4 linked regions of the Neodiprion lecontei genome follow. The protein of the gene in region 3 interacts with the protein of the main gene of each other region in a pairwise test. Links are inferred from orthologs where the notes say so. Each region holds a gene or a part of one and is shown on either strand. Other genes may lie near its edges.

Region 1 (8,330 bases), about 12 Mb from region 3:
TAATGCGCGGTTGTTTCCAGACTGAGGAATTCGGCTAGCTGATTTTCGTCGTTACGATTACTATGGATCGATGACGTCAGAAGAAAAAAAAATTTTGAGTGACGTCACTTTCTGAACATCCGAACATCCGAATATCCAAAATTTGGTTTTGAAGTTTAATATTACTAATGATTCTTCGTGACAGCGACCGAATCACGCAGACGTCGTGTATTGGAAATTGGCAGTTTCCTGCTTCGATTGAAAAATTTGGTAGTACGCGGTTTTGCATGATACCTGGTTGTGATTGCATGCGAATAGAGCATTAAAGTCCAGTACGAGAATTAACTTTCACTTTAAGGTTGTGCAATTGTTACCCACTTTTGATTATTCCCTCTCCGAAGCGCAGGCAAATTAAGGTTCCTCTTATACTGTTTGAATGAAAATCGGGTTCTTCCTTTTCTAAATTACGAGCATCCAAAAAGTTATTTATTATTGATACCGTCCTCTGGGGTTCAAGTAATTCGCGTTCACCAATCACCAACATATTAAGAAGCGTATGGCGTGTTGCAGAGTGGAAGCCTCGTGTCTGGCTCAAGTTTCCAAAGAATGGAATAAGAAGGAAAGAATTCCATCACGTCCACGACTATTATCAGGCGGCAGGGATATAGTTAAGATTGAAATGTGAATAGCGGTGGTGGGGGTACGACAAGTACAGAACGTAAAATATTTATCAGGTCCTTTGGAGGTGTGAAAAAAATTTAAAGAAGCTCCAAAGAAAAAAAAGAAAGAAAAAAAGAAAGTGGTAAAAATGAAAAAACAAAAAATAAGATAAACTTCTGGGATTAGAGGCGATGCTGAGATTAAAGGGTGTTTGTATCAGATGGAAACCCGGAGGTGCCTTCTCCTCCTCCTCTTCCTCCTCCTTCTTCTCCTTTGGAGAAGCATTGCTCTTCGACCTGAGAAGCCGGGGTTGGGCGTGTACTTACGTATAACGTGGATATATACGCGGATTGAAGTCTGTGGTACGGTTCACTTCAGGAAGGAAGATATCCGTCGACGCGGCCGGCGGTAACGTAGCAACCCTCGGTGGCGAAGACAGACGATGTCCGGTAGCCCCGAAGTCTCTCGGCAGAAGTTTACCTTACCTCGGTATAAATAAAGTCAATGATCCTACGAAGTTACCTAGAACCAGTTGACAGCAATCCCTTATTATATGCGCACACCGCCGGTTTCTTTTATCAACATCGCGTATTATACATATTCACGAGCGCTTCTCTGCATATGGACTCTGAACGTCTGCATTATACTTGCGCAATACCGGCGGGTCTTTAATTATACACTTCGTATCGGCACCTGGAAATCTTGAAACCTTTATCAAATAAACTGAAAACAGTTTAAAAGCATCGATTACTTGACGTCAGAATTTAGAATTGATTTTAACGATTATACCATACAATTGTTATACCCCGATTAATTCGATTGAATTATTTTTCTTAAGCATGTGATCGTGAGTGCGAATCCTGCGGTTGGAATTTAAATTGCACCATTTTTTTTAAATTTTTTTTTATTTTTATAAGAAAAAAAATGAAACGATTCTAAAACGAAGTGAAATGTTTGAAATATCCGGCAAACAAATTAGCATCGATCGCCTTTTATCGAGTGCTGATAGTTTCATCGAATATGAAAATGAAGAATTAGAGCTAATATAAAAGTTGAATTTATTTTACAACGATCGAATTCGACGACTACTTTGAAGTAATGAAACGAAGAATTTGTCTAGAATTCTATTTCAGATAGCGAATATCTATAATTGTCAGCAAACAAGTTCTATAAGCTAGCTGCTGCATGAATAGCATGAAACGATTAATCGCGGCGGTAATGGGAGGAACGGGGGTCCATTCTCGATCATGCGGACGCGAATGGCGATATAAAGAGAAAAAGGCCGTAAGTAAAGTCAAGGGGCCGTCGTGTGTTCCCGGTGCTTGCCGAGTAAATGTAGAGTTAGTGACTTGCGGCGTTTGGCCGTTGTCGTCGGCACGGCTTTCCTATCTCGCTGCTGGAATCCCCATATGTCCGTCAGCGCGCCTCGCCAACACCTCGGAATCACTTGAGAGAGAGAGAGAGAGAGAGAGGAGCATCGGGATCTTCCGCACACTTTGATGCGAAGCTCCTATGCGTCCGCTCCTATTTGTGTGTCTTGTTCCTCTTGCGCTTGCCTCGGCCTTCCTCGTTTTCTCCTCTCTCGCCTGCCGCCACGGCTCGACCAAAATACCACTCGATCTTTGCGTACAGTGGCCAACGCAGGGGCGTCTTTTACAAATCGCGGGCTATGGCTGCACCACGTTATTTACCTGTACCCTCTTTTACCAGATTTCAAACGCCGTCGTTCCTCCCTCTGGAACTGAGGCGACGGCTTCGAAATATTTTTATCTTCCATTCCAGAAATTTATTGGCGCGTTTTAAACATGACGATATTTTGGAGTAAGTTCTGCTTGTTAGCGGATAACAAATATTACGCAATGATATAGGAGGAATATTGCACTCCACTGACTTTCTCGGTACTCGAATCGAACTCCGTACAAATCGGTCGCCACTGAGTTTTATCTCGAATAATTACACCTGCAAGTAAAAAATAATTATTCTAGGTTTTTAACAGGAAAGAATAGACGACATTAGTCCAACTCGAAAATTATAAACTGGTTGCACCGATAGGTGAAATATAAATTTGCCGCAAAGAAATCTATCAGTGAGTTTAGGGAATTTTTGGACAAAATTTTTGACGTTGCATGGCATTTCAATAAAGTTACTACACCCGTTTGTGTGATATAGCGAATGGCTTGATGTTTTAATTTATAGAAATAAATACCTGCATATCATCGTTCAAGCGAAAGTGCGCAAAGCGCGTTTGAAGCAGGTTGTACGATGGACTAATTATTATTTTTCGGTGCTAGCGAACACTGTTTCCGTTTCGCGAACGATGTACGAAAAGCAGCACAATATAATTGCAATACTAATTACCGTATTACAAATTGTTTGCGGGTAACTGACTTGTAAAAACTTACTCTCTAGCTTGTAACAAAATTGACTGAACTGTAAAAGAAGCTTAATTCAGATCGGAGGCAAGTCAGGAAGCTATGCAGTTTTTCATAATTCGGAAAGGTTCTACTATAGTTGAGAACGGTGACTAACTTGAAGTGCTTGAGATTCTTATTAATTATCATACATACTCTTCTATTCGAAGACCACTTGAAGTGAAACACCGAACGTTGAGATTCCACGTATTCATTTTTAATTTCACGTCTTTAGAAGAGTGATGGACACCGTTCAAAGTTCCCGCTGCAGGTTTCTTGACTCCACATTTCATCGAGGCTGCTGGGCTTGGCCGTGCCGTGGCGCCACTCTACGAATAAGTCAATCAGTGTCCACGACTCATGGCATCACCTGGAAAAGTGACAAAGTGTCATGGCGTCGAAACGAGTAAAAGTCGCGAACGTAACCTCACTTTGATTGTGTTTACATTAAATACTTGAAAAGTATAAGTTTCTGTTCAACGCAATCGAAGCTTGCTGTAGAATCGTGATAAATTTACGTTCGCCTGAGGGGCAAATGGGCTCGCCGATGGACACGCCTGGTTCACAGGCGCTCGAGGCAGCGAGAAACATAAAGGAGTTGGCAGTGTTTAAAAAGCCAATTGGGGTGGCGAAACGAAGAAAGGGCTGCAAGTCGACGATCCTCGATGAGGATACGTACATCGGTAAGATGGCCGAGATCATACAGAGGGACTTTTTCCCTGACCTTGAAAAGTTGCACGCTCAGAACGACTACCTCGACGCACTTGAGCACAACAACATAAAGAGGATGCGCGAGTTGTACGAGAAGTACAGTTCAGGACGACCCATCACGGAGCGGCCGGTGAGTCCTGCAACGTTTGAGACTCCTTTGCGGAACGGAAACACCGACGAGTCCGTCATGGAAATGCCAAAGTCTACGGAGATAGACGTACCTACTAACGACGCTGAGACGGAGGTGAAGATGGGTCTTGATGCTTACTTGACCTCTCATACAAGCGAGGACAACGCAAGTTTTGAGGAGATGATGGTAGAGTCGGAGAAGAAACACAGGCTTAAATACTCGTGGCTATATGAGGTTGAAGAAAAGTCTAAAGTCTTGGCCATTGAGAGGAACAAAAATGAGACGAGATGCATTGAGGGTAATTATGAAAAACCCAAGGAACTCGACGGCTGGAGTTACACGAACAAAAATTATATCATGTATGTGCCTGACGGCGTTGAATTGACTCCTGAAGAAAAGATCAATCTGGCTAAGAGGAAACAGGAAGTCATTCACGACAATACCAGACTTAGAATGAATCCTTTTAACGAACAACAGAATAAGGAAACGATCAACGAACTTGCCAAAACTCAATCAAAGGTTAAAGACGGCAAGATTGGAATCGATGGAAAAGAAGTAGTTCGTAATCCAACCCCGAGGGTCAATGGATTTAGCTTTGTTGCAACGCCAAGTCCTAGACCTGGAGAATGCGATAGCCCAATTATGACTTGGGGTCAAATAGAAGGGACGCCATTCAGGCTGGATGGAGGTGATACTCCGCTACTTAGAACCAGCCATGGGCCAGCATTCAGAATGGCTGAGCCTCCGAAAAGAGAAAAAATTGCATTACAACTGGCAGAGAAAGCTGGAGAGAGGCACAGAGACCGGAAAAGTAAAGCCTTGGAAGCTGCAAGAAGATCCTTGGCTAGGTATACAGTCTTAATAATTTTCATTCTTCTCATGCAGAACAGTTGATCCCTGTGTTTATTTATCAATTCTTGCACTATATAAAAAATTTCACACTAATCAGCCATTCTAATTCTTATATTTTTCAATTACAGTCCATCACCCAGACCTTTATCTGCGATGGATCGTTTGAGCACGATGTCACCAGCTGCGAGGAGATTAGCGACGCAAAAGTTGCGGCTTTCAGGAACCCCAACTCCTAGAAGATCTCGACAAACAAGAACTCCTTCTATAGGCGTAAGGACGCCACACACACCGATATTTGGCACACCTGGATCTAAGAGTCAAGATTCTGCGTTGGAAAAGACATCGACACTGCAGGGTCCTGTCCTTACCGATAATCTGCTTAATTTACCAACGCAAAGACAGAGAGCTGCTGATTTTTTCAATAAGTGAATCGATTTCATTCTAAATCTTGATAAATGCAGAGGTATGTGTATAAATTAAGCAAAAGCTGTATAAATTTAATTCAAAAGAATTCTACCACTGATATGTATTTCACGTCTGTTCCTTACTCCGTTCAATTGTTAAGTCGATGCTATGCAAATATTGTAATATATCTTAAGTTTTATAATGTCCACTGGTTACTTGTATTTACTCATTAGTTTGATAGGAGTATCCTGTGTTTATAAGTGTAAAATAGTTGAACGATATACTACTAGTTTTCGGCTAACTTCACTTGCGTGTTTCTATATTTCGCTGAATGGAAACACTGTTAATATTGTTCAAGTTTTGTAAATACGTACTTAAGATTAAGTTTTATGTAATAATTTTTTTGGGGAGATTTATTATATGCAATATTTATTATTGATTTGGTAATATTGACGAATGATTAACACTAATTTGCGATTCCATTAGAAATGAATTTACGAAAAGTCATTACGTCATTTTTTTCCGATGGTGTGAACGCAAAGGTAATATGCTGGTAGATACTCACGGATAAGCTCGATAAGCATTTTCACGAAAAATATTATTCACAACGTGCCGAAATTTAAAACAATCTGTGTCAGAGTGATGAATAAATGAAGTTCTTACCGACCATAGTATTGTCGACCTGTTTATTTTTTCCTATTTTTGAATAGAGATCCTTCTGTGAGACAATGTCCAGCCAATATCTATTGAATAAATAATTTGGTAAAATTTTAAAATGTTTGCTCGATATTAAAAACGTATATTCAAACGCAAAGTATTATGCAACAAATTTGATTTGATCTAGATCGACGAAATCTGCTAGTCCAGAGTCAAAGTAAAAATTACAACGCTCACATTAAAGTATTTGTGTATGTTATAAAAGAAAAAGGACAGACTGTGATTATTCTGGGCCCCTAGTTCTGTAATTTCATTGAGAGTGCATTAGAAAATGATATCTGCTATATCGCGACGAATGAAACCTACATTCGAGAACTTCACTGATCAAAAATTCCAGCAAAAAAAGGAGATCCGAGCTGAATCTCATAAATCGCCATGACAGTACATGAAGCTGTGCATTTTCATGTTTTTGCTCCCTCCTGAATTTGAGTGAATCAAAAGCCCGTCTAAGAAATAGTTCAATTCTATGACCAACGCAAGCTTGTTTGATACAATCGTACGTCAACTGATAAATCGTAAAATCTGGACGTGCCAGAAATATTTTCGGCTTCAATATTTGATTGCAGATTAAATTTTTATAAAAATATTCAAATAGTTTACCACATTGATTTGTTTATGATATTGTTATATGCTGTTGACATTAATTCGAATCGCTTCCACTATCCCGTTATACGGTTGAATTGTCATTGATATAAAACCATAAGTACCAATATTTCACTGACAACATATTTCAGGATATCGATCGGTTTCGAAGAGCATGCTACTGCAGGAGAATTGGTTTTAGTTCAAAAGTCAATTTGTATTATATTATATTATTCAGTTACGCCAATTATAAATCCTGATTATTGAAAGGTAGAGTTAAGTTCACGTACCCGACGTTGGTGATGGACATCGGTGACCTTGGCGCATTGTTCGTAATGAAACACCCTAGCGCTGCTTCTGACTTCCGTATTTTGATTTTCAAGACTGTTACTTCCGGTAATAAAGTCGGTAGCACTTCGGAGTCGCAACCGATATCGAACTTGCCTTATGTGACGTCGGTAAATTAAAAAAATCTGTTTATAATCAATTTACCGTTCAAAAGTTAAACAAGGAACACTCCTTGTGCAGACCTTGAGTGTTTTATTGAATGATTACGAGGTTTTTTTATTCGTGCGTATAACTTCATCCAAGCAGCAAATGTTGATTGTTTATCCCACCGGAACTCAAACGAATAACATTTGCTAATAAACCGCACGTTGTGGGGCTTGCAAAATTGCAACATCGGTTTAAAATGGCACGCACGATTCGTCGAGGTATAAGTAGGTGTCTTCACAGTGGACCTGGAGGACTCATATCGGTAATTTTAAGAGAAACAAAACAGAAAGGTGGGCAATAAGAGAAACGGAAAATCACAACGCAATTAAGCATGAAGACTTCCCAGATACTGTTTCTGGGCCTGGCGCTTTTCCTCACCGTTCAACATGCCGCCGGTTCTCACCGCCACAACTGCGGTCTTGGACCCGGAATTGACGCCTGCGGATGTTCCGAGGGCATCGTAAAAGCCGCGAAGGTAGCCCGCCCGTTCAAATTCGCTGACCCTTCCGTGATCACCGAAGCCGCTAGCTATAAGATTTCACCTACGCACAGCAGCGGCTGCGGAAGTCTGAATCAAGTGAAAAAAGTCAGTGGACCATCGGTCATAGATCTGCTTCAGCCTTCTTGCGGCCCAATTGCACCGAGGTACGAAGTTCTTCCGAATCAATTTTCCCGGCAAGGAAGAGAATCTCGGTCTCGATTCTTCGTCCCTTAACGTATTTCATTCCTATTCCAGACTACGCCCGGTCGGTGATCTGTGCACCAGTTGCTCCGGGATCGCTGAAGTCGTTCCTGCTTACCCCGGAAAGCCCATGTGCCGCACTTGCGCTGCAGCTTTGGAATGTAAGTGCAAGGATCCTGACAATGCACCCGTCTACACCAGCTACAGCACTCCCAACGCCGAACTGAACGTCTTCGAGGACGAAGGTAAGTTGCAGTCCCGAAACCGACTTGACTCGCCATAAAAAATAACTTGAAATTAGTTGGAAAATGTCTCCCTCCTTTGTAATTGATTCAGGACTCTCCTTCGACGAACAAGAAAACATTTACAATTCGCAAAGCGTGCCAGTGGCACCCGCTGACCCTGTTTCCTTGGCGTTGGCCTTTGGATTGGCCAAACAAGCGAGCCAGAATATACAGGAGTCAAGATTGGCTTTCGGACCAACGAGTACCCCGATCGACGGTAGCATTCGTAGGACTGTCCTCAACATTCCCGAGGAAAGGCTCCTCACGGTCGACAAACCAATTGTGGAATTGAAACTCGCATCGAGACCTGCAATGAGTGATACCTACGCAGAAGTGATCGCCCAGCAAGCGGCCCTGGAGGAGCAGAGACTGGAATTGGAAGCCCAGGCCCAGCAGGGCGATTTGAAACCTTCGTTCATCAG
Region 2 (8,276 bases), on a different chromosome or scaffold from region 3:
CACGCGATAAAGAATGTAATAAAAGTAACTCGCCAATGTGCGGGTCACGTTGCTCGTATAACTCTTGAATAAATAAAAGGGTGAACACCGAATATGTACATTTATATACCAGACCGTTGAGGGCAACTCACCATTGTTGCGTAGGACGGACCCGGGGCTGGCGGCTTCGAGAGGGCTGTTCGGCTCCTCCGAGTCTGGTTCTCTCTTCACGCTGGAACGAAAAGCATCCTGGATTATTTACATTGCCGAAACGATTCGGCCAACATTTGCTTGACGGAAACGGCTGTTGTGGAATCAACGGAGCGTAGAGAATTAGGGAATTACACGTAAGTCGCACCGTGCTACCTCTGACTCCGGCAACCTCATCTGCCCTGTATCCTTGTGCGTTCGTCGCGGAAAAGCAAGCAAGTACGTCGTCACGACAAACTTCACCACGAGTTCTACCGCTATACTCGTGATTGGCATTGCGGGCTTTCTGTGGATACGAAATTCCGCGGAACTTCAGATCCCGTGGTATCCGTTATACGACGTAACAAGAAACATGGAGAGGAGAAGAATATTGGAAAAAGAGAACGCCGAGAAGCTCAATTTATCACTCAATGGAACCAATGTGAGGTATCTTTCACAAATGAAGGAAATTGTGTACAACTGCGGTCCCCAGAATTTTAATCCTCGCGTCTATTCCGATCTGCATCGATAGTCATTAGGTTACGTCGTCACTTTATACACGGGATGGATCGCGATTGAACTAGATCATTCCAAAATACCCGGTGAGGTAGGCCGGCAGAGTAGTGTAATAACGAAAGGGACGAAAGGGAGAGTTTGTGTACGATGGGTAGACGATCAAGGCTCCGCCGATGAAGGATACCAACTTGTGAGCCTTCGTGCAAGCAGCGAGACTTGAGTATATGAGGAAAGAAGACTGTGTTAGCCCGGTTTTCATAGCAAAATGACGTTACTCGGTATTTGGTTTCGACGGCTTCATTCAGCCCACTGTTATAGTGTAAGCGTAAGACTTGTAAGCAAATATAGTAATCTTCGCTCAACAGTTATAACAGCATTACGCTTGGGACGAAAAAAGTTTGATATCCGATTAAAGTTCGGTCGCGTGTAAAATAACGTTATTTCAGGTGGAATTGTTTCCTAATAAATCTAGTTCGAAATAGCATCAAGACTCCTAGCAATGATTCAAAACACTGTTTTTAGTTCCATCTCGACAACTTGGATTTATTATATACAGCGCAGCAACGAAGGAGATTTTCGGAATTACATAATTTCCCTAACTAATGCACGTGAATTATTAAGCTCTGCAAATCGCCAAGACCCTGGGAGAAAATCTTGGTCTTGATACAAGTTCCCGAGTTCGCTGAAATTCCGCCACAATTTCTGTACTGCGTGGCAGGTTGTAAATCAGTTTGGTTGAAAATTCAATTTTTTGCGAAGGTATCTTCGTTCGAACGTCAAAGCAAAAAGTATGTGTATTCATAACGATCACGATTTGTGCACCCCAAATCATTAGTCTTCGTTTAAACTTTTCATGTGGATACATCTCGCGTTGAAACTTTAAGAATATCGTTCAGAAGGTTTATACGTACATACGTATATACGTACATATTACGTTGGATAAGTATGGGAATAAGAAACCAAGAAATACAACGTGCTGGTTTTAATTCATTACCATCGTTAGACAAATAACAAACCGCTGACAGGTAATACATATGTAAATTGAAGTATCTGCGGAAATGACTGTTATTTAAATTAACAGAAGAACAAACAGTTGCATGATTGTAAGTATAGAATTTAGTATTGTTTGCGTTCTAAAGACGACGCGCGCGTGCCGTGATGTGAGTATTGTACGTATTGAACGTACCTACGTGTATACCTCGAATGGCAAGACGGTGTTTAAAAATGTAACGGGTTTGTTGAATCGATAGGAAAAATTACCCAAGGTATTATTTCCCCGCAGTCGGTATTGTCCCTTATACTTATACGTATACGTACAGCTACCTAATTGTTATATCCTTTACATCGTCAGTTTTTCTGCCTTATCGTATCTGAACTCGAGACAGATGAACGGTACGACTTTCAAACTTCGATAATACATCAGGAGTCGAGTTTAGCGTAAACGACGCTATTAGCGCTACTTAAACTTTGTAAGGTGCGTTATTGAATATGAAGTGATGTTTCAACAAACTCTATGGCTGTTCACTCATAATAACTAGTGTATCAAATGTTCGGGTTTCAGTTGCGAGATTTGAGAATTCGATAGTGTAACTCGAGTTTTTCACATCTGTACACTCTCGTCACGGTTCAGTTAATCGGAATCATTCTCCATTCAACCATGGAAACCAAAACTGACGAAAATATAACAAAAACCAAGGTATCAAAAGATATACAATCGGACCCCTCTTCCACCGACTACTAATAATCCAACCGATTGCCACTAACCACGGGAAACTTTTACCGTTGAATTAATAAAGATTTATATAAAAGTCGTCATCATCCTCTCACACCTTCCAAGCCTGTACGCATCGACAGAGATACACGACGTTAGTAACAGGCAAACAGGGTAGTCAAAATCGAACAAGAGAGACTCGAATTACGGACCCGCAGTGTAATTAAGCCTATAAATGTCGGGGTGGTGTATTTGTGTCAGATGGATAGGTAACTGTGGTACCTTATGAAGGTGGAGTCCGCAGCTGGACTGGACGGCCTCGGCGACGAACTCGCTGTAGACGCGGTGTTGGTTTCGTCCTGTACGTCCATCGTCGTTCATTCCCGTCGAAAATTGTGGAGCAGCGGCAGCATTTCGTTGAGGGAGGGGGAGGGGCTGGGGCGGTGATGCAGGGATGATCGTCAGATACGAAGAAAAACTTTGCCCGCACAAGGTGGATGTCGTGACGGGGCTTTTCCCTGGGGATGAGCGTAGGAGCGCTTAGTTGATACAGGCGTATATTACAGGTATATAGACGCGTATTTCGGATAATTCGGGTGAACGCGGGGAGGCGGATTACAGGGTTCAACTCCTTGCTCCACCCACGCCCGTCCGCGACCGCGGGCCAACGGGAATCAACTGACAACCGCTAGTTTTCCACCCCCGTCGACTGCACATGCCCCATACTCGGGGGTGGCGAAGACGCACGCGCGGAAAACGGAACTAGGTGATCAGCGAGCCGCTTGACACATATAGTTCCCGAAACTTATCAGCTCCCGTCGAACTAGGACTAGTTGCGGGGAGACAGGTAGAGGGACGTTTGCTTACGACCCCCCCACCCCCTCCTACCCCTTCGCCCGCTCGTCACGCGCGGGAGACCAAAGCAATTGGAACGACGAAACTGTGTTACTTCTGTGCACGGCATACCTACGTTTGTGAGCGCCTACTTTTTGGAATACCTATCATTGCGAGGACAGTAGTTCCTCAGTTTTAGTTCGTTGTACGTTTGTTTGAAACTAATTGATGCTGAAACGGAAATATCCCCGTGACGGTATTAATGGAGATACAATGTTTATTCTAAGAATTATTTCGAGCATCTTTCTTCGTTTGCAGAAGGAAGGATGAGGCTGAAGTTAGCGACGTTAACGTAAACGAAACGTCAGGGAAAAAATCATTACTGTGCAATTTCTAAATGACTTTCAAAGAGTTGGCTTTTAAAAATATGAATATGTTTTGTTTGTCAGGGTTTATCAAATTTCAGATGATCCTAAACATGCATTATTGGAGTAACGTTACTAACTTCATCCTCGTGTTTCGTGAAAAATATCCGTTTATTTGACGCCGAGGAAAGTACCGCACTCGCATATTATCTTATTTCATGAAAAGATTTGGCGTGGGTTAAAAATACATATCTTTATTAAATTATACGTCAGATACAGCTCGTTCTTTTGAGGAATGAAATTGACGGGCGAATGTCTCACCGACTAAAAGTGGAAAGATGAGGGAAGCTTCGGCATATATCTGTTCGGACAGAAAATAGAACAGAAAAAAAAAACAGTTAGTATCAAACAGAGACAAGCTGTGTGCGTTTTACTTGCTGCGCACATCGAGAAAATGTTTCAGATCAAAGAAACACCTCTTTACTGGTGAAAAATGTTTCATTGCCTTAATTCAGAGTTAACTGTAGCGACGTAATATTATTTTAGCCACCGACATAGTAACGTTTCTTTGACGCCAGAAATTTTTGTTTTTCTACAGTGATAACCGCAATCGCACGAAGAAAGTATGAATGGTATTATTACTTTTACAGGAGTTGCGTCTTTCTTGATTTTTCCCCACGAAACGGCTTCGTCGGGCCTTGCGCCGCTATCGCTACCGTCAAACTCGGAGGCTGTGTTTAAAAAGACAGCGTAGTCTGCGCCATTTCGCTGTAGGGAATTCAGCAATTCGGTAATCAAAGTAGTTTGGTATGAAAAATGTGTGTACAACTTATTATCGCAAAGATTATTACCATAAGATTTGCGTTGCAAATATGATGCTTGATTACACCCCCGCCTAGAATGATGATACCGCTGTTTACCGCTTTCATCGCCATACTGTTCAAACGCCTTAAATCTACCAAGAAAAGTTTACGCGAATAAATGGGGTAGATTGAAAGCTTGTAGTTAGATTGTTACCTGATAATCGAGGAATATATCTTCAGATTAATTAAAAAACTACCTGATAATATATCGAGTACTAGGCCAGGATTTCGGAACGAATGGAAGAACATCATGTCGCCTAGGCTACCGTCAGTCAATGCGGGACTAAAGACTGGAATCTTATTTTTGGCAGCCCAATAATAGATAGAATCTGGATTGTCAATTTCTTCACCTAGTCTCGTAATTACCTTTGAGGGTGTCCACAAAGTACCCTGCGAATGGAACGTTCTTGAATTTGAAAGGACAAAGAATGCGAATGAACAGAAAAACATTGACCATTGAACGGTCTAGTAAAAAAGCAATTTCTATTTAAAATAAAAAAAAAACATACACACATGCATTATTTCGACCTAACGGTAAACGGGATTTCTAACTCCTCAATTTCTGATGCTGTGACAAAAAGAAAAAGAATGCATGTGAAATTTTCGTCAGGGTAAAATTACAACTGCTGAAATAAATCCGTTCAAGTGTCACAAAAAGCCAAAGTAAAAGACGATAGCGTGATACATACTGAGCAGCACACATAATTACCTTCTCTTTCTGTTCAGCCAACATTGCATCCAGCTTTGGGGTAACCCAGTCTTCGAAAAGACAATAGTTATCATTTGGAACAAGTAAATTCCCGATTCTATTAATCCCATTTTCTCTCAGTCGTTTGCCTTCGAGGTGGAAATCCCCAAGGTAAGTCGGTGCCAGGCATTTTATTAAATCCTCTTCGACTCCACCAGCCGAGGCAACGATACAGTCAACCTGTGGGGTGTATGAGATTATCTTGATGTACAGGGAGATGGAGAAAATAGTTGTATAAAATAGCATACACTCAGATTACTGACCATTTTGTGTTGAACCAAAAATCTAATAGTGTCTCTCATCCCACAAGATGCCATATTAGACGTATACCCAAGAAATATCGTACAATTGCTCTTCCTCTTTATAAATTCATCTTCCTCTATAGAGTCGATCTTGTCATCGTCGAGCGGGACCTTCCTTGCGTTGATCATTTTGTTGATTTCGTCGACAGCTAGACCAAAGTTAGTAGCCTGAAACCCTGAGAATTTGTAGCTCTCGAAAAGTGTGTGATAGTCGACACCGGCATTCCAATCATATCCTGGGAAGGAAATTGTTCAGGTTGATAATTGCCCACTATGAAATTTACAAGCTTTTACATTGCTGCAGAAGTAGACTCAAGCGCAGGTTTCTTACCTTTAACTGTAGCTGCACCTGCGGGCAGGGATACGCTCTGGACCAGCACTGCGTCTTTCAATTCAGCAGGGAGTTTGTCCTTCGGATTTTCACACATTCTTGTACAATTTGAGAATCCAATATCCAATAACAGCCAAAACTCCCAGAGTTTAATACAGAAGTATTTACTTGCGGTTTTCGCATACACGTGGCTATGACAGAACCGGTGTTCGTAAATGACAACGGGAACTGATTAACGACTAGCTCGAAATTACGAATCACTTGGCAATCCACGTGTTATACAGGTTAGCCCAGCTACGAAAAAATTTCGCACAAAACGTATCCGGTACAATTCATAGAATGTACGCTGGGGTATATAACCTCAAATTTCTAAAGGCAGTAGCAGACAAAATCATAGACCGGCCGAATAGCAGGACACTAACGGGGAACCACTTACCGGCTAGAAATGGGATCTCTATTACCGGCACTGCACAACTGCCGATATAGGTATAGCGAGGGGTATCGGGCCCCGCGATATTTTCAAACGTCGAGTCTTCATCGACACAAAAGCCGGCACCCCTTCCTCTCTTTCATAGCTCGCAAAATGATGAACCACGTCACGTTTTGGTTGTAGTGGTCGTAAAAAATTTGAATGCGTCGATAAGAGCGACGACAAGTTGAAATGTATGGGTATTACTTTGCACAGACTGTAAAGGTTTTCTACATAAAGATGAGAAGGTTCTTCTCATTTAAATCAACCGGCAATAATGCCGTTATATGACAATGTTCGTCCGCATAATTACAATTTTACATACTCTGTGACGCAACTATTTGTAACTTAATTCACCTATTCGTTAGCGGTATCTTGGATTTCAATTACGATCTCAAGTAGTGTGATTCGCAATGTATGTACGATAGATCGGAACGTATACCTATCTACAATTTAGCTATCATAATAAGGTGCAGGCAGTTAAGAAGTTACCTCGATACAGAAATGCTCTGCCTCTCTATGCGATATTTTGTTAATCTATTTACTGAGATTATACATATACTCAAGTGTCGCGTACTGTAAGGATAAAACAAATACCGGAATAGTGAACAGTCACCGCACAGTAAACGGGAAAAGAATTCATTCAATTTTGTTGTTGATTTAGGGATTCAAAATTAAATTCATTCATGTTATACTTTATTACTCTTGCTCCAAGTGGAAATTTAATATTTCTCAAGAATTGGATCGAATTTTAATTCCGCTACAAATTAGAATAGACAAGAGATCGGGAAAGTCCAACCAGAACACCGATGGGTCTACCGTTCTTTGAAGCATAACCAAGCTCATCGGATCTACCATAGGTATGTTCCATAGAAAACTAATCACCGTAATGTATTTCGCGTAGTGTCTCTATAGTGTATACCAAAATGTAATCCTAGTCTATAATATATTCGTTATACATCATATTATATCTGCTTGGCAAAATATTTTTGTGATCACAATTTACACGTCTGAGGGTTCGTGTAATCGAGAAATAATTTAGAGAGAGCCTATACTACGGTCCCCGCAATGTTATACGTCGTATCCATTTAATACGTGTGATATACCAGCACGTGTCAATTTTGTCAAGCAACTTACCAATTTGTAAGTCTGTACAATCGTGCAACGTATGTCACATAAATCCTAGAAAGTGTTTTTTATTCACGTGGCTCATCCGAATTAAGCAATTGCAAATATGAACAACTGTTAGCGCGAACGTTCGCGCGTAGAAGTTAGATCGTTTACGACGCAGGCCTTCTTGGCAGTGCTGGATTGGCTGCGATTATCGATGACGTTGCTTAAGCTGGTGCAAATGTAGGTAAATATTTGAAATAGCGCAAGTATTTTAGCAGCTGTGGAATACAGGGAATCTACTCTTACGGCCAGGCATCGCGCGTCGCTTCGAATGGTATTTCACGCGGAATTATAAATTTCTGGTCTTCCGAGTAAAGCGAAAGCCTTCGAAAGCGCGCGTGCGCACTTAAAGAGATATGAAGTTGCGACGTTGCCAAGTATCGGCGAACCGTACGTGTCTGACCCCAGAACGGCGGGTAGGGGTACGTCGTCGATGGAGCCGCGAGATACTCGTTGTGGGTTTTAGGTGACGTTGAGCGTCCGACGGCATCAATCCGTAGAATAGTATTATTCAACGTCAACTGGATATCGGATAGACAACGGGCTTTTCGCCGTCTTTAAAACCGTGGCGAGTAACGGTGAGTTCAAATACGTATACTGGAAATAATATTTAATTTGCAGAACTTCATTCAGAAAATTATCACAACACTCTCTCTAATAGTAACCTAAGAATAATTGATTATTTTCATGCCCGTGGATGAGGAAAATATCTTTTATTTCGGATCACGTTGTTCCAAACAAACGAGGAGTTGAACTCTAATCGAGCAGCTGACGTACCTCGATGATTTCGAAACAA
Region 3 (8,042 bases):
CTATCCTTACTAATATTCAGATATTCATACCTTTAAGCATTGTTAATTGCACTATTACTATTATGATATCTAATAACTCATTTCAAAATCGGGTAGACAACTTAAGAATTGTTGAACCAAGTAGAATATATTCAATGCAATACAATAACAAACTTTGCTAGGGGTAATTCAGATCGAGCTGTGCTTTACCACCATCAATACGATGCTATGCCGCTAAGTTCTCAGAAATGGTGCACAGCGCTGGTGACATTGCGAAGTCTTGAGGGATATATTCGATCATAGATGAAACGCTTATTAGTTAATATTGTTTTACCTTGAATAATTGAATCTTAAGAATCAATTCCTAAGGTAAAGCAGCCCCGTAGAACATTGCCTTAGATAACTGTACTTAATACACCCTGAATACGTGTTCAGTTTTGCACACCTGTGCCATCTTTTGTCACAAAATTTTTACATTATTCAATTGTTTAATCATAAAATTACCTAAATACAAAAATATTCCGATTACAGAAATGATATTAAACATACATGGGGCCACAAGCCAAAATACATTTAACATCAAACATCATAAACCTAGTGAGGCACGCTTTAGAAGCAAGTTAGCTGTTAGCTGGGATACGCAAAGCAGACCATATAAGGTAAAAACCAAGACACGAATTAGTTCAACCGTGGACTCAATGTAATAAATCTGTCAACCAAAATTGTACAGGAGCATAAGAGATGGTGTCCTATATACACGGATTTTAATCAAGCTCGGAGAGCCAGTTCAATATTAAATTCAATTAGTAAGGCCACTATACCCAAGCGTAGAATCAGTGTCAAATATAAAATCAATTAGTAAAAGTATAGCAAAAATTGTACTTTTTGGTGTAATGTCGAATAGATCTTAGTGCACATTTCATTTACAAAGTCGCAATATATATTAGCTTGAGATGAAACATTAACTCTTTTAGCAAAAATTGTTATCATTTATTATTCGCCTATCGAAATATAGTAACAAAACAAAATATACATATTACTTCTATAAAAAGAAGGGAATGAAGATAATTCTGTAGATTTATTTAGTCCAAGCCATCCTTCTTTTCCTTTATAGCTTCCTGAAACAATATTATTTATGTACTGTAATGTATGGAGAATATTCATTCGGTATAACATAGTTTGCTTTAGTATAATCTAAAAATACAAGTAGATTAAAATGACGAGTGGCAATTTGATATCATATTATACAAAGTGTTTTTAATAAATGGTTGAATGCAACTGACCCTCAACTTCAGTAAGCATTAATAATTTTCTCATGAAGCTTTCATTTTGTAAACCTGGTCTCGGGAAGGCTGGTCATTTTTTTTCAAATATGTTCAATATATGGTTCAGGCCTACCAATTGTGCTCTAATTAAATATTTGACCTTTGAACAGTTGCCTCTAACACAATTTGTAATTCAGATGTTTTTTGGGCAAGTGATTTTGAAATGGGATTATTTTATATAAGCCAGAATTTGATGACAGTAATGAAAGTCCCAAATTGCAGAAGACAAAAATATTAAAAGCGTGTGGCAAAGATACGAGGTGAATCGGCTTTAGGTGTTAGTGATTTCAATTTCAGACTGATTCAGACTATCTAATGCTAGCGGTTTTGCACCACCTAAAAACAAGGCACAAAAAAGTTCCAATCTACCGTAAACAGTGATTTGTTTATTAAACTCAATATTCATCAGATATTTTATTCAATTTTAGATATTTTGCGAATTATTGTGATTTGAATCCGAAAAAATTGAAAAATTCGACATAATGTTATTAAATTGAGAGAAGATATAAGATTTTTTTATTTTTCATTTTCGGCTAGATTTTTACGAAAAATTGACGGTGAATTAAAGTAAGAATTTTTTGACGTGTTATTTCAAGCGAGACCTCTAAATCTTATCCGATAGAGCTGAAACTTGCAGGGAATTAGTTTTTCACCAAAAACAACAGTTTTATGAGGAAGCAGAACTGAAAAAAAAAATTTATTTGCTTGAACTACTCTTGTATATAGCATAGGATTTACTCATCACTGAATATGTTTCATGTTTTGTTTTCTATCCACCCCATACTTTTGCGTTTGTCAACAAAGGGGATAGATATTTTCATTGTGACTAATCGTTATCCTTCAAAAAATTAAACCTACCTTGAAACGTTCTTCAAACAGTGACAGTTCTGCAATGAGGTCAGTTATGGCATGCATAAATGCTTCATGAGGCGTATAATCGGATGTTGTTTGAATACGGATCACAAATTTATGCTCCAACGGGTGCGGCAATTTGTATCCAGCAAACAAAACTTGAGGATCCTTTAACAATTGACTAAAATAAAAGCATAGACATTAATAAACTTATTTGTTATGACAAGGTCGCAAGTTTCAACTAAATTGAAAGAGACGGTAAGAACACTCCTTAATTATATCACTGTCAACTGTTCCCTATTTCAAAAAATCAATTGCTATCACTCAAAGTGATGTTGGCACAACATATTGTTGTCCTGACAAAGTGTAGTTTTTAAAACATAACTATGTGATAAATACTTTCGAATCATGTTTCCCAGGGTATGATCTTCCTTATTGACTGTGAATATTGCTGCATTGGGTACTTTTGAATCTTGTTCCTTGATGATTCTGCAAAAAGAATTCTAATTGTTAGAAGTAATCATTATCGCCCCAGAAAATTCACTCTCTTGGCTGAAAAGAATACTGAGGCTATTCGGAATATTCGGAGGGTTAGATATCAAGTGACAATAAGGTATACCTCTACCATCAAAACATCATGGCTATACCATCCTTCCGAGGGTATCAGCAATTTATGGCAATATTAACGGGTATATGGTTTGTGCTCTTCGAACATCATCGAGATATGAAAATTGCTCAAGTCTGTAGCGATGCAGTAAAAGAGACTGAATTTACTGTCAAAACTCATGTATGAATCAAACATAATTCTAATAAAGCTACTCTTTTTCCAAGTCTAATTCCAATGGTTAAAGCAAGATATTCCTCCGAATACAGCATTGGTGAACTGGGAGAAACCAATGGAATGCAAAATACACTATCTTAAAGTGCGGTAAAACATTTAGATCTTGACTTAGGACACTGACAGGTGAATAGTTTGTTTATATTAACCTAAAACCTGAGCTTGAGGAAAATGGTCTCAGAAAATGCTTACTTTTTCTCTCCATCATACAAGAGAAACGATTCGAAGGTCGGTGGCGCGTTCATGTTAATAGTTCAAATATTCTTTAATAACGAATATTATCCAGGTATCAAAGTGAGAAAATCATGCACCGCTAAATACACTTGGATAACTTCGGGGTTATTTTGCTCGAAGTGCCCGAAGTCACCTGGAAGTGTTGAAAAAGGAGCTCCCAGCGCTGAAACTGAAAATTCCCTAGGAGCGAGACAGAACTTGGCAATAATGCTATAGAGCAAGAGAGACAGAAAATAGCAATGATCTTTTATGTAGTTTAATATTCCCTGATTGGAGCGTTCCTATGCAAACGCTCATAACGACGCTGCATCTCACTCGAATGCCAAGTTTGTCCCACTTCTCTCTAGCCTGGGTATCTATGGCCTTGATCTATGGCTCGAGCATTGAAGAGCTCACGAGCCGCAAAGTAGTTGTCAAAATGGCGGGCGAAGGTTCGGCTTGCATAAATCCAAATGCAGAAATTATTCGGGGACAAGTGTTCGAAGTTGGTCCGCGATATACTAATTTGTCGTATATGGGAGAAGGAGCTTACGGAATGGTTGTGTAAGTTTCACAGGCAATATTTTCATGGCAAAAATGGCAATTTCATCATATGCATTGACCAGCATTGTGACAGGCGATAAGATAAACAATTCGAGCTCTTACTAGCCGAGACATGTTAACGATTCGATTATAATGATAACACGTCAGCTCATACGAGAATACTCGGCAATTTTTTCATTCTATGTACGTTTTACGAACCACACCTTTACGCCAGCTGCTGATTGCCTTTAATTGGCGCCACATTCAAATTCCTGTCACACCCCTTTCCTTCATTTCTGCAGGTTACGCCACGCTCAAGTTTAGTGAGACCTTGATTCGACTGCCTCGTACTTCTTTTTCCAAGTCTACATTTTTCAGATGTTTTGCGTAGTCAGTGATATATTGACTACGAATCCGCCTCTCCTTTATCAATTCACCTCTCCAAGAAATATACAACCTTTAAATATGTAAAAGTTGAAGAATCCAACTTGACACATGCAAAATTTCGGGGTCAATTGTCTAGCAAATAAGTATGAGAAACGTTTTGAAAATTCGAATTTTTAACACAGAGCGTTATGACACTTACCTTCGAAGTTTTGGATAATTTCTATGCATAAATATTTAGGAACTGCCCCTCAAAAACATGGTGATTATAATACAATTGACGATGATTCTAAACACAATGAACACACATCGAGTTGCTGGAAATTTTGGAAAGATATTTGACATTAAACATTAAACTAGAGGTTATGTTACTTGGTCATGATGTACAATAACAGTGCAGAAGCTGCGTCATTCTAGGCAGTCAAGCAGTAATCATACAGATTTTTGTATGTGATTAATGAAATTAATAAGTTAAGGTTCTCAAAGTATTATACTGTTTTGTTTTTATGATTTTCTAAATTTCAGACAACCCTAACATTGTGAAATAACAATTTTCAAAAATACATTGTTACATTAAGAGGGTGGTACATCGTGGTACAGCTTGAACGGTCTAAAATCATACCTATTTTTAGGAGTTTCTGTTTAAAGAAAATGAAAACAGAGCAACTTGAGTTTCAGGACGTTATTATTTGTAGTTTCAAGAACATGGTTGAATTTTTTCATTGAAATTAATAGCAAAATGGTAGCATGGCGCCTATAAGTAGCGAGCGACCACGTTTTCAATACGGTGGTGCAGATTCCTCGGTCAATTTTTATCTGAATGACTGGAAATTTTGACACAATCTGTAAATTTTGTTTATCGATTCGAGTTTGTGACTAGATTTTTGAATTTCAATACCAAATCTTAATATAAAAATTTTTGTTCATAACCGTATATATATGAAAAAAATATCAAGCTTGACTGATCAAAACTTCAGATACAGTTTTTGCAGTGGCTGAAATCGTTATTGCATTATTCGTAAAATTCAGTAAATGTATCATGAAATTTTCTTAAAAGTGGAAAACTCGTGAAAAACATGAAGGATTTTTACACATGTTAACAGAGAGCGATTCTTAATACGTCACTTGTTCGTATGCAAAGAACGATTTTGTTAGTTGTCAGGCATGTAACGTGCTTAAAGTTACTAACGTCCAAAATCTTCTTTCACTCTAAAATTATAAAATAGTGGTTTTTCCAAATTTTTTACTTTAATGTTACTAATTTAAACAACTAGTCATATATCGTAGTGAGCAGTTTTACCAGTTTCCATTGGAGAGAGAAAGTTTTTAATCAGACTCCATCTGGTGTAGAAAACAGATTGAAAACGTTTCTTTTTAGTTTCATTTTGCATTTATATATGTATCGTTCATTGAAATCCTGACATTTCATCTGCAAAGTGGAGGAAAATATTAACGTAATGTAATTTTAGAAAATGTCGTTATTTTCAACTTAAGAATTATCCAAAAATAGACTATACTTCTATATTGCAAATTCAACTCCGTTACAGTTATTTTGAAGTTTTGTAATTGTAATTTTTTGTTCAATGTTCATTGTGTTATCTTTAATAATTTCAATGTTGGAAAATCCCCAGTTTTTCCTGTCACATGTGTCTCAAGAACATATTTTGAATTATTTTGTGTGCGAAATTCAGTATTTCAAGAGACGTATCCACTTCGAATTATTTATTACGTAATTACTAAGAAATAATGTTAGAAGATAAGGTGACCATAAAACCACACGACTAATAGCAACCAGTTTTCCTTTAAAGACTGTGGATTGTACATTCATTGTGCGTGCAATGATTTGAAATGACAAGGCTGAAGCTAGTAGTGAGAGTTAGCAGCCAAATGTGCTAATGTTAATTCGAATAAGGTAGTGGTGAAGTCCGAAAATCAAAATTTTGTGAAATACCCTGAACCCCCAGTACTTTTATAGAATTATGAGCATAAAATTGAACTGTATTTTTCTAATTCCAAAACTACTCACTAAGGTTTGGCTGCTAGCTTCAGCTTCATTTTGAAATGTTCTAGATAAAAGAAGTTTCATCCATTTACATTTGAAACATGAAATTCACTACTACCCTTATCGTGCGGTACTACAATGTATTGTCATGCAGGGTTTTCATTATACCTGCAAACCAGAAAAGTCTGGAATCTTCGGAGATTTTTGTTTTCCTAAAAAAAACCAAGATATAGCCAAAGAATCCTGACGATTTATGGAAAAACTGAAATTTCAAAATCAAACTTTTATATTATTCCAAACGTTACGGTTGTAGTGTAACGCTTGGCATAGTTGTGTAAGCGAGAACTGATGAAAAATTGAAATCCGAGTTCAGTACAGAAATGGAACCCAAATGAAATATAATTTAAAATGATTGATTAAATTTCTTCGTTCATTGCATTAATCGTAAACTACACAATCGGTATCTAGATAATTACAATTTTAAACGTGTGAAAGTCAGGGAGTTTTATAATCGAAAATTAGTTCTATTACTGTATCATTTATCAGATTATATCTGTACGAAATTTAAATAATAGATTATAATTTTAAAAAAAAGCTGAGCCTGTTAGGTCGTTAACTGTAGTTTCTTTAATTATACTTTGGAGAATTTACTAAAGGGTGTTTCTTTTTAATTGCCTCAGGTCAATTACCCCAAAACTAAGCAACAAATCAAAAATCGTTTCATAGAAAATATTCAAGGTTTGAAGGGGTAAGAAAAGAAAGGTATCAGATTTTTTGCAATTGAAACCATCAAGGTCAGATGAAGGTCAACTTAGTTATTTTTAGATGGGATAGTATATCTTTTTTATTGGCCTCTGATTGGGCATCAAATTTTGCATAAAAAATGACTTACGTAGTTGTTGCCTAAACTCGACCGGTGATAAGATACCAGCCGGTCGAATTGGAGCAAGGTACCTTGTCAGTTCTATGGAAATACTTGAGGCCTCAAGTATTCTAATACTAAAAGTTGCCTGAATTATTTTCTGTGTTGAGCCCATGAGATTAGACAAAGAGTAGTATGTTTGTTGGCATGGTAGTTTATTTATTTGTTGTCAAAGAGTTGGGTGGGTTGAGATAAAGAAACTGCAAGACTATTACCATGTAATATATGGACAATCCTTGATGATCTATGTTACATTTCCAGTGTACAGACTTTCAATGATATCAACTACCCAGATATGGTGTATTAAATGAATAGAAACGATTATATGAGGATTTTTTGTGTCATTTCACTTAAGTAGTCAATGCCGATTTCACAAAGTGTCTAGCTGTCAGGGACATCTGGAAAACCGGAAACTATTAGGAAATTTGCATACGTCTGGAAAAACCAGGGAATTTCAGGGAATTTGATATGTCATTGACACTAGGCACCCTGTTTCAATTTGAACAGCAGAAACATCATATGTTTACCAAACAATGAGATGAATGTTGAATGGCGTGATGCATATATCGATAATTATTATAATTATAAAAAAAAATATTGGTATTAATTTGTTTTTATAATTTATTTTTTGCAGATCTGCGTACGACAATGTAACAAAAACTAAAGTAGCTATCAAGAAAATATCTCCCTTCGAGCATCAAACTTACAGCCAGAGGACTTTGAGGGAAATAAAAATTCTCACCAGGTTCAAGCATGAGAATGTAAGAAATTTTTATATAGACCTAATATTTATTGTGTGAGAGCAAAATGATAACCAATTCCTTACAGACTTTGAATATCACTCTGTTTTTTGCAACAAGTTTGACAAGAAGTATAGTATCACTTATTTTACTCAAAGTGCAGCATAATTCTGTATAAAAATTGAGACAACATGCGGTTTGTATCACCCATATGAAATCCTTAATTACTCTCAAGAAGTTAAAC
Region 4 (6,746 bases), on a different chromosome or scaffold from region 3:
CACAATCGAATGAAAGCTTCGTTGTCGAGATAAAAGTGCTAAACACGGCGTAGGTTCTAAAATACACCCACCTGTTCATCTGTCTTCTCGTATAGTATATTCTCGTATACTTTACAAATATCTCTTATTATAGGCATTATAGCCGCTGGTATAGGTACAAAAATGAACCAAAGTATAGTTTACATGACACACAATATTGTTCCGGTACACCTTGATTGCAATACCAGTAGCTCATCAAAAAATATATCTACCAAAAATATTAAAAACAATCCTTATTGCCAAATACAACGTAACTTTTTCGCGAAAATAGCTTATGTGTAAACGAAAAATAAATAATTTAGGACGGAAGAAAACATTTAGAGTATAGAAGTAGTTCGCGGGCAGTTTTAGAAAATGTATAAACTACAAGATGAATAAATGCATCTTTAAAAGACGCTTCAAATCACTTATTGATCAGCCATCATGTCATTTTTGACGTATTTTGTAAAAATATTTTCATAATCATATACATGCATTAAGAATCACATCAAACACCTTAAATTATTTCACTGACAAGTAATTGTGAAAACTTTAACGTTGGAACTTGCACGCCAGGGAATGCAAGTAATTTTGCAACAATCAAATGTAAAGAAAACTGTCACCTCTAAAAACAAAACTCAATTGACGTTAGTGATACCCCCTATTTTTTGTGGCTTCTGAGCCCCGGTACAAATTCTTTTGATATATCTCGAACAAATTCGTCAGTATTTTGCCATAATTAAGGAAAAAGAACTTTTCCTGGGCACGACGGATGCCTTCTAAAAATGTGACATATTTTTTTTTTTAATAACTTTGCACTCTTTAATTTTACCTACATTGAATACATCTTTCATTATCTATCAATATATATATATGACAAAAATAATTATCTTCCGGAGCAAATGGCCTTTATCTAAAATATAATTTTTTAAAAATCTTTAGAAAAATGTTATTCATCTTAAATGAATGTTGCATACATTCAACACATATTAAACAAACCTCTAATAATATCTCAGTATAAAAAAAATAAAAGTTCTCTTTCGTCAATATTTTGGGGGGTCCGTCGTGCCCCGGTCTCCCCTATACTAATATTTACGTATACGTACAGATAAAACGTAACATCCGCGCTGGAATTTCAATGCTTTGTTTACCATGTTACGGGGTGGATAATTGAGATCACGACGAGCGGCTATATCGATGATCGCATCACACTCAGCCGTGATGTTATTACCGCTTATTTTGGATTCGTAACCCGTTGACTACGGTCACGTAGGAAGGATCAGAGGAAATGAGAGGAACTTGTATCGAGGAGTTGAATGTTTAAGTATAGTATGTAATTGATTTATTGTCACAGGTACGGAGAGTACAGTGAGAAGATTTGGGGAAGGGAAAAGGCAACAGAGATGAGTTTGGATGTTGGCCGAATGGAATATGACTTAAGAGTTAGCACATGAGAAGAAGCATGCAAGGGACTGGCTAGTTACAGTTTACTAGTAGAAGGAGCATTCTGCTGATGCGGTATGGAAACCGAGGCAGCGAGGTGATGATAAGAAGTGGATCAGGATATAAGGTAGCTGTAAGAGTGTGGGAAAAGAATCTAAGGTCTGGAGGATGTAACAACCGTACCAAAGTATTTGTTAATTGAGAAAACCTCATATAATTCCTAATTCAATTTTTATAATTAAAAAATGAAGAATATATTATGGGATAGAGGGGGGCTGGTTCGACGATTTTCAAACCACCTCTATGCTCACCTAAGATGTTATTTTGGTGAATTTGGGTGCGGTCTCGTCGCAGTCCGCGATCCGGGAATGATGGAATGAGTGATAACGAGGTGGAGAAGTTATACATTTGGTTGCTTGAATGCTTTGTTAGAACTGGGATTAGGCGTAATTGTGTAACTAGGCGAAGTGAGGCAGGAATAGGTGAAATAAATATTTAGAATGCAACGTGACGTTGGTTACTTGAATTGAGGTGCTGTACGTTGACGATTGTTTAGACTATAGTCAATTGAATAATAGAATTGAATTTAGTAGACTGGTCGTAGGTGCTGAAGTTAACGGGAGAAAACCCTTTACAATGTTCAAAAAATCGATTTGTTTTCGCACATTTCGAAAGTATAATATATTGAGAGTATACTAGAAAGTCGAACAATCCGAATATGAAATACTAACGAAGTTGTAGGACCTGCACCTGCATTCTTGTCTAAAAATCGTTGAAATCTCAGCCTACATTTCTGTTGGGGTATTTAATGAAGGCTACAGTGCCATTTTGAAAATGATAAATGCATTAGATATAAATTGTTAGATTAATTATTCCAAAGTCTTTGCTGAAAACACCGATGAGGCGCGGATAGCGAGGCAGAACCGAAGGAGTCTTTTTGATAAAAAAGTAGCTCGCACAGCTCGAAAACAACAACTCGAAGATAATCAGCTCTCTGAGGAAGCTGAAGGTTTATCATATGCGCCTGGAATCGCTGATTGATCGGTAAGGCACTAAAACTAATAGTATTATCGTATTGAAACTTTAAACGCGATTGTGTCAATCTAATGATACGTGTCAATCTAACAAGTCATTATCCCCGCGGTATTTTAAAGTTACATTCGACGGTGATGGGTTATGTCATGTTTATTGAGATTGAGTTTGTTTCGTGCTCGGCCGACTGTAGCGCTGTAGATTTCTCAGTGTTGCCAACATAACTCTCTAGTGTAAAAATTAGCTGTCACAGATTCATTGTCCCCAAGTGTACATACTGCTTAGGCATATAAGGACTATAAGGTACAGTATATGCTCTAACAATAAGTCATACTGGTGTTACATAGGCCGTGTTCGTAAATTGACTGCCAGTACTAAAAATTCCCTAGGACAGAGACAGAGCTGTCCATGAACTCGGCAGCGCAAAAGAGATAAAAGATTGCTGACAGTACTGTCAGTCAATTTTTGAACACGGCCATACTAGTCTCGCTAATCGTAAGGCCTGAACCAGCCCCCTGACACTCACCACTGCTCGTCTACTAAAAAATTGTACGCGTCTTGTCCCCGTTTTTTAGTTCCTCTACGTGGCGCTAGTAGATTTCTGACACGCTCGCTGCCCTCGCTGAAGGCGCGCAAGCTCGTCAGGTAACTACTAGCGCCATTAGTGGTGGAAATTGGCGGCAGAATCGAGGGACGTTTTGCGAACCACTTTTAGAAGCGTGTGTCAGGGGGCTGGCCTGAACCAGAGAACGAAGAACGGTCAAGTGCACGTAGATCTAACTTATGAATTAATATTAAAAAATCTGATGAAAACGTGCGCAAGGACAACGAAATGAATTATTGATAGTTCAGAATATCTGCGTAAAAAATGCGCGGCTTATTACAAGTGTAAGGAGTGTGTTGCGATAATATCCGAGGGTTATAACCTCAAAGCGACCACAATATCACCAAACTTAACCTTATGTACCCTAATTAACTTTGCACGATCAAACCTATTGAAAGTTGTATTATCATTGCTTTTTAAAATCGCATAAAATAGTTGTAGATGACTTACTTTTAAATTGTACCGATGAATCACGACCCTTGTGTTATCTGTTTCAAACATTGTTCTTCAACTGCTATATTTTGTAAACAAGTACCAGCAATCTGTCCCGTATGTAATGCTACTATATTTGAATACTTATTGGAACCGTTCCGTCTACCGAATCCCTTTGCCAACGCCAGGGAATATCCAGTGACGGTTGTACTAAGACCATCACTAGGCGATTTCTTGAACGATTACACGATCACTGATGATTTGCATATTGGTGTGGTAGATTCTAAAGGGAATATATTCGAGTATGATAAACCTGGAGTGATAAAGAACGACTTTTCTAACTGGCTAAACTGTTTGGCGTTTGACATTGTACCTGATTCCTGGACGGATCATTGGGACACAACAATACAAAAAATATCAACTGACGAAAAATGGTCTTGCCAAGATTATAACCAAGATTCTTTCAACTGCTTCAATTTTGTTCTTGAATTTTTAACTCAATTGAAGTATAGTGGTGCGTTATTTGCTAGTAAGGAAGAATTTTGTGAACGCTTTGTTATTCCTAAAATTCAGGATGCTCTGAAGTTTGTCACCCTTTACAGACAGCTCAAATATGTTGATCATTTTTGCTGAAATACTATAGATTTGCTTGTGTGAGTTGTCTCTAATATAAATCCTCGACCTTTGTTAAAACTAATATATAACTCAGTGATCACTTCCAGATAATTAAAAAAAAGATTTCTCTCCTGTTTGTAGTGCTATCATAGCTTGATTCACATACTGTCTTTAATTTTGATCAAAAATTAAATTTATGCTAAGAGAAATTGTGAACAATGGCTATCTCTCAACTAAGAAACTGTGTATTCAAACTTAAACATATACAACTCTATCAGCGGTGTATTGGAACAGTAGTTAGTGATAGTAACTATGAAAAGTTTGACGTCATCGTCGTTGGAGGTGGGCATGCTGGGACAGAGGCATGTGCTGCGGCAGCTAGAATGGGGGCCAAGACTTTGCTCGTTACTCACAAGAAGAGCACTGTCGGTATGTTGGCATAAAAGTCAAGAACCCGTTACCAAACTACAAGAATCCCAAAAATAATCTAATTCAAATTTAGACAACATAACATATTTGATAAATCTCAGTTCAACAAATTGATATAATTTAACACAAAATCATTAATTTTAAATTTTACCATGACTTTGAAAGTGTTAACTTTTGAAATACAAGTTATATTTTGCTTTATGATGGTATACTTAATTTCAGCCAGTCTTAAAGTTGTGAAGTTACGATTTTTTTTAAAATCAACATTATTACAAATAGCGTTACAAACTTCAACCTCATGATTCTAATTAGTGTTTTCTTAGTACAGGCGAAATGTCTTGTAATCCATCATTTGGCGGAATTGGAAAGGGTCATCTGATGCGAGAAATTGATGCGTTAGATGGAGTTTGCTGTCGAATTTGTGATAAATCAGGAATACATTACAAAATACTGAATCGAAGGAAAGGACCAGCAGTGTGGGGTCTTAGGGCCCAAATAGATAGAGTATTATACAAAAAGCATCTGCAGGCTGAATTATTTTCTGCAAAAAATTTACACATATCTGAATCTCCAGTTGAAGATCTCATACTACAAGGAGATTCACCTAAGTGCTGTGGCGTTATACTCAGTAAGTGTGGTTCTTTTGAATATACCTCCAGTGGAACTACCATTTGAATCATCATGTTGAATGATCAATTTTATTTTCACAGAAGATGGAACCAAGGTGTTTGGAAAGTCTGTTGTCATCACAACGGGAACTTTTTTAAAGGGCCAGATTAACATTGGTTTGGAAAAGAGACCTGCTGGGCGATTAGACGATGAGCCTAGCATTGGCTTGGCTAATACACTTGAAGACCTTGGATTTAGAATGGGAAGGTTAAAAACTGGTATGTAAGCTAATGTTCAAACTCATTTTCCTTATACCTAGCAAGTACTAAAAACGACTTGACACAAATTTTGAGCTGCTATGTATCACCAATGTTGTCCTTTGCCAGTCATATTAAAGAGATCATAAATCTGTTAAATATTATTTCCCGATTCAAGGATTTGTAACTTATTGAATTCACTGCTGTATATTATAGTGTGTAAGGTTCTATATGTCTGCATACTTCTTAGACCTAGGCTTACGAGTCATTCAAAACATTGAGTAGATCATAAATCATCTGAAAAATCCTGCTTTGTTCAAACACTAAAACTGCAAAAATGTAAACAATTACAGTCCGACCTCTGAATAGTACCCCTCTCTCAATAGTTCCGCTTCTCCAGTTTTCTTTGCAAACTGTTCCTCCTACTACTCAGCGAACTAGCCGTGAGCTCGAATTTCGTATACCTACTTCTCAATAGTTTCGTCAGTCAAAACTTTTTTTCATTGGTATTTCGAAGCATTAGAGCGATTAGAATTATTGAGAGATAAGGGTAAAGCCTCACTGACCAGTGCAGTGGTACATAGTGGGGGAACACCGATTCATGGAAAAACTTCCCTTTTCATCCCTGCTTGAGACTATTGAGAGGTCAGAGTGTACCACCTGATAAATCTCAAAACGTGAATGTATAAAGCGTCAGATATATTTAGCCAATGTATTATTTAGATATCTTCATTCTCATTTTCTCAAAAAATGCAAGTACAGGTTTATCTTGTTACTCAGGTACCCCTCCAAGAATCGTGAAGTCTACTATCGACTTTACACAATGCCAATACCACCCTCCAGATAATCGGCCGGAGCCATTTTCATTCATGAATGAAACTGTGTGGATAAAGCCGGAAGATCAGCTGCCTTGTTATCTGACATTTACCGGGGAAGCAGTGGCTAAAATAGTTAGAGATAATCTACATTGCAATAGACACGTCACTGAAGAAGTAACAGGTCCTAGATATTGTCCAAGCATTGAGAGCAAAATTCTTAAATTTGCATCTATGAAGCACCAAATTTGGCTTGAGCCGGAGGGACTTGACTCACCGTTGATGTATCCAAGCGGTCTATCTTGTACTTTACCGGCAGACAAGCAAGTCGACCTTGTCAGATGTATGATTGGTCTAGAAAATGCTGAAGTAGGTAAGATTTATTTCATGAATAAGTTTCATGATATATCAAGGAAGTTACACAAATATATATTTAGATATCCCTATAAAATCAATATGAAGTGATTAAAACGCAGAAAATTGCCTGAAATA

The links.
Region 1: the proteins of mitogen-activated protein kinase 1 (region 3) and splicing factor ESS-2 homolog interact in a two-hybrid assay, tested with the Caenorhabditis elegans proteins (3 studies listed by BioGRID). The link is inferred for Neodiprion lecontei from reciprocal best matches to the Caenorhabditis elegans genes mpk-1 and ess-2.
Region 2: the proteins of mitogen-activated protein kinase 1 (region 3) and probable deoxyhypusine synthase interact in a two-hybrid assay, tested with the Caenorhabditis elegans proteins (2 studies listed by BioGRID). The link is inferred for Neodiprion lecontei from reciprocal best matches to the Caenorhabditis elegans genes mpk-1 and dhps-1.
Region 4: the proteins of mitogen-activated protein kinase 1 (region 3) and MKRN2 opposite strand protein interact in a two-hybrid assay, tested with the Caenorhabditis elegans proteins (3 studies listed by BioGRID). The link is inferred for Neodiprion lecontei from reciprocal best matches to the Caenorhabditis elegans genes mpk-1 and W10D9.3.

What each region holds. Positions count from the first base shown.
Region 1 is NC_060262.1:35,268,823-35,277,152, reverse strand, and holds splicing factor ESS-2 homolog, read left to right. Parts: upstream 1-3,400; 5' UTR 3,401-3,585; coding exon 3,586-4,739; intron 4,740-4,871; coding exon 4,872-5,172; 3' UTR 5,173-5,819; downstream 5,820-8,330. Other genes in the region: uncharacterized protein LOC107224703, read left to right, coding at 7,274-7,587, 7,679-7,869, 7,961-8,330. UniProt on the Caenorhabditis elegans protein: Regulates pre-mRNA splicing.
Region 2 is NC_060261.1:43,917,118-43,925,393, forward strand, and holds probable deoxyhypusine synthase, read right to left. Parts: upstream 6,297-8,276; 5' UTR 5,936-6,296; coding exon 5,839-5,935; intron 5,744-5,838; coding exon 5,469-5,743; intron 5,386-5,468; coding exon 5,167-5,385; intron 4,848-5,166; coding exon 4,655-4,847; intron 4,550-4,654; coding exon 4,446-4,549; intron 4,363-4,445; coding exon 4,237-4,362; intron 3,956-4,236; coding exon 3,857-3,955; 3' UTR 3,829-3,856; downstream 1-3,828. UniProt on the Caenorhabditis elegans protein: Catalyzes the NAD-dependent oxidative cleavage of spermidine and the subsequent transfer of the butylamine moiety of spermidine to the epsilon-amino group of a critical lysine residue of the eIF-5A precursor protein to form the intermediate deoxyhypusine residue.
Region 3 is NC_060262.1:23,226,743-23,234,784, forward strand, and holds the start of mitogen-activated protein kinase 1, read left to right. Parts: upstream 1-3,557; 5' UTR 3,558-3,586; coding exon 3,587-3,771; intron 3,772-4,261; exon of another isoform or gene 4,262-4,280; intron 4,281-7,692; coding exon 7,693-7,819; intron 7,820-8,042. Other genes in the region: DNA-directed RNA polymerase II subunit RPB11, read right to left, coding at 1,062-1,097, 2,163-2,337, 2,556-2,645, 3,187-3,239. UniProt on the Caenorhabditis elegans protein: Functions in let-60 Ras signaling pathway; acts downstream of lin-45 raf kinase, but before the lin-1 gene product in controlling vulval cell differentiation. Plays a negative role in proximal germline proliferation in the mitotic zone.
Region 4 is NC_060264.1:10,410,274-10,417,019, forward strand, and holds MKRN2 opposite strand protein, read left to right. Parts: upstream 1-3,374; 5' UTR 3,375-3,562; coding exon 3,563-4,162; downstream 4,163-6,746. Other genes in the region: protein MTO1 homolog, mitochondrial, read left to right, coding at 4,363-4,573, 4,902-5,201, 5,284-5,460, 6,220-6,627.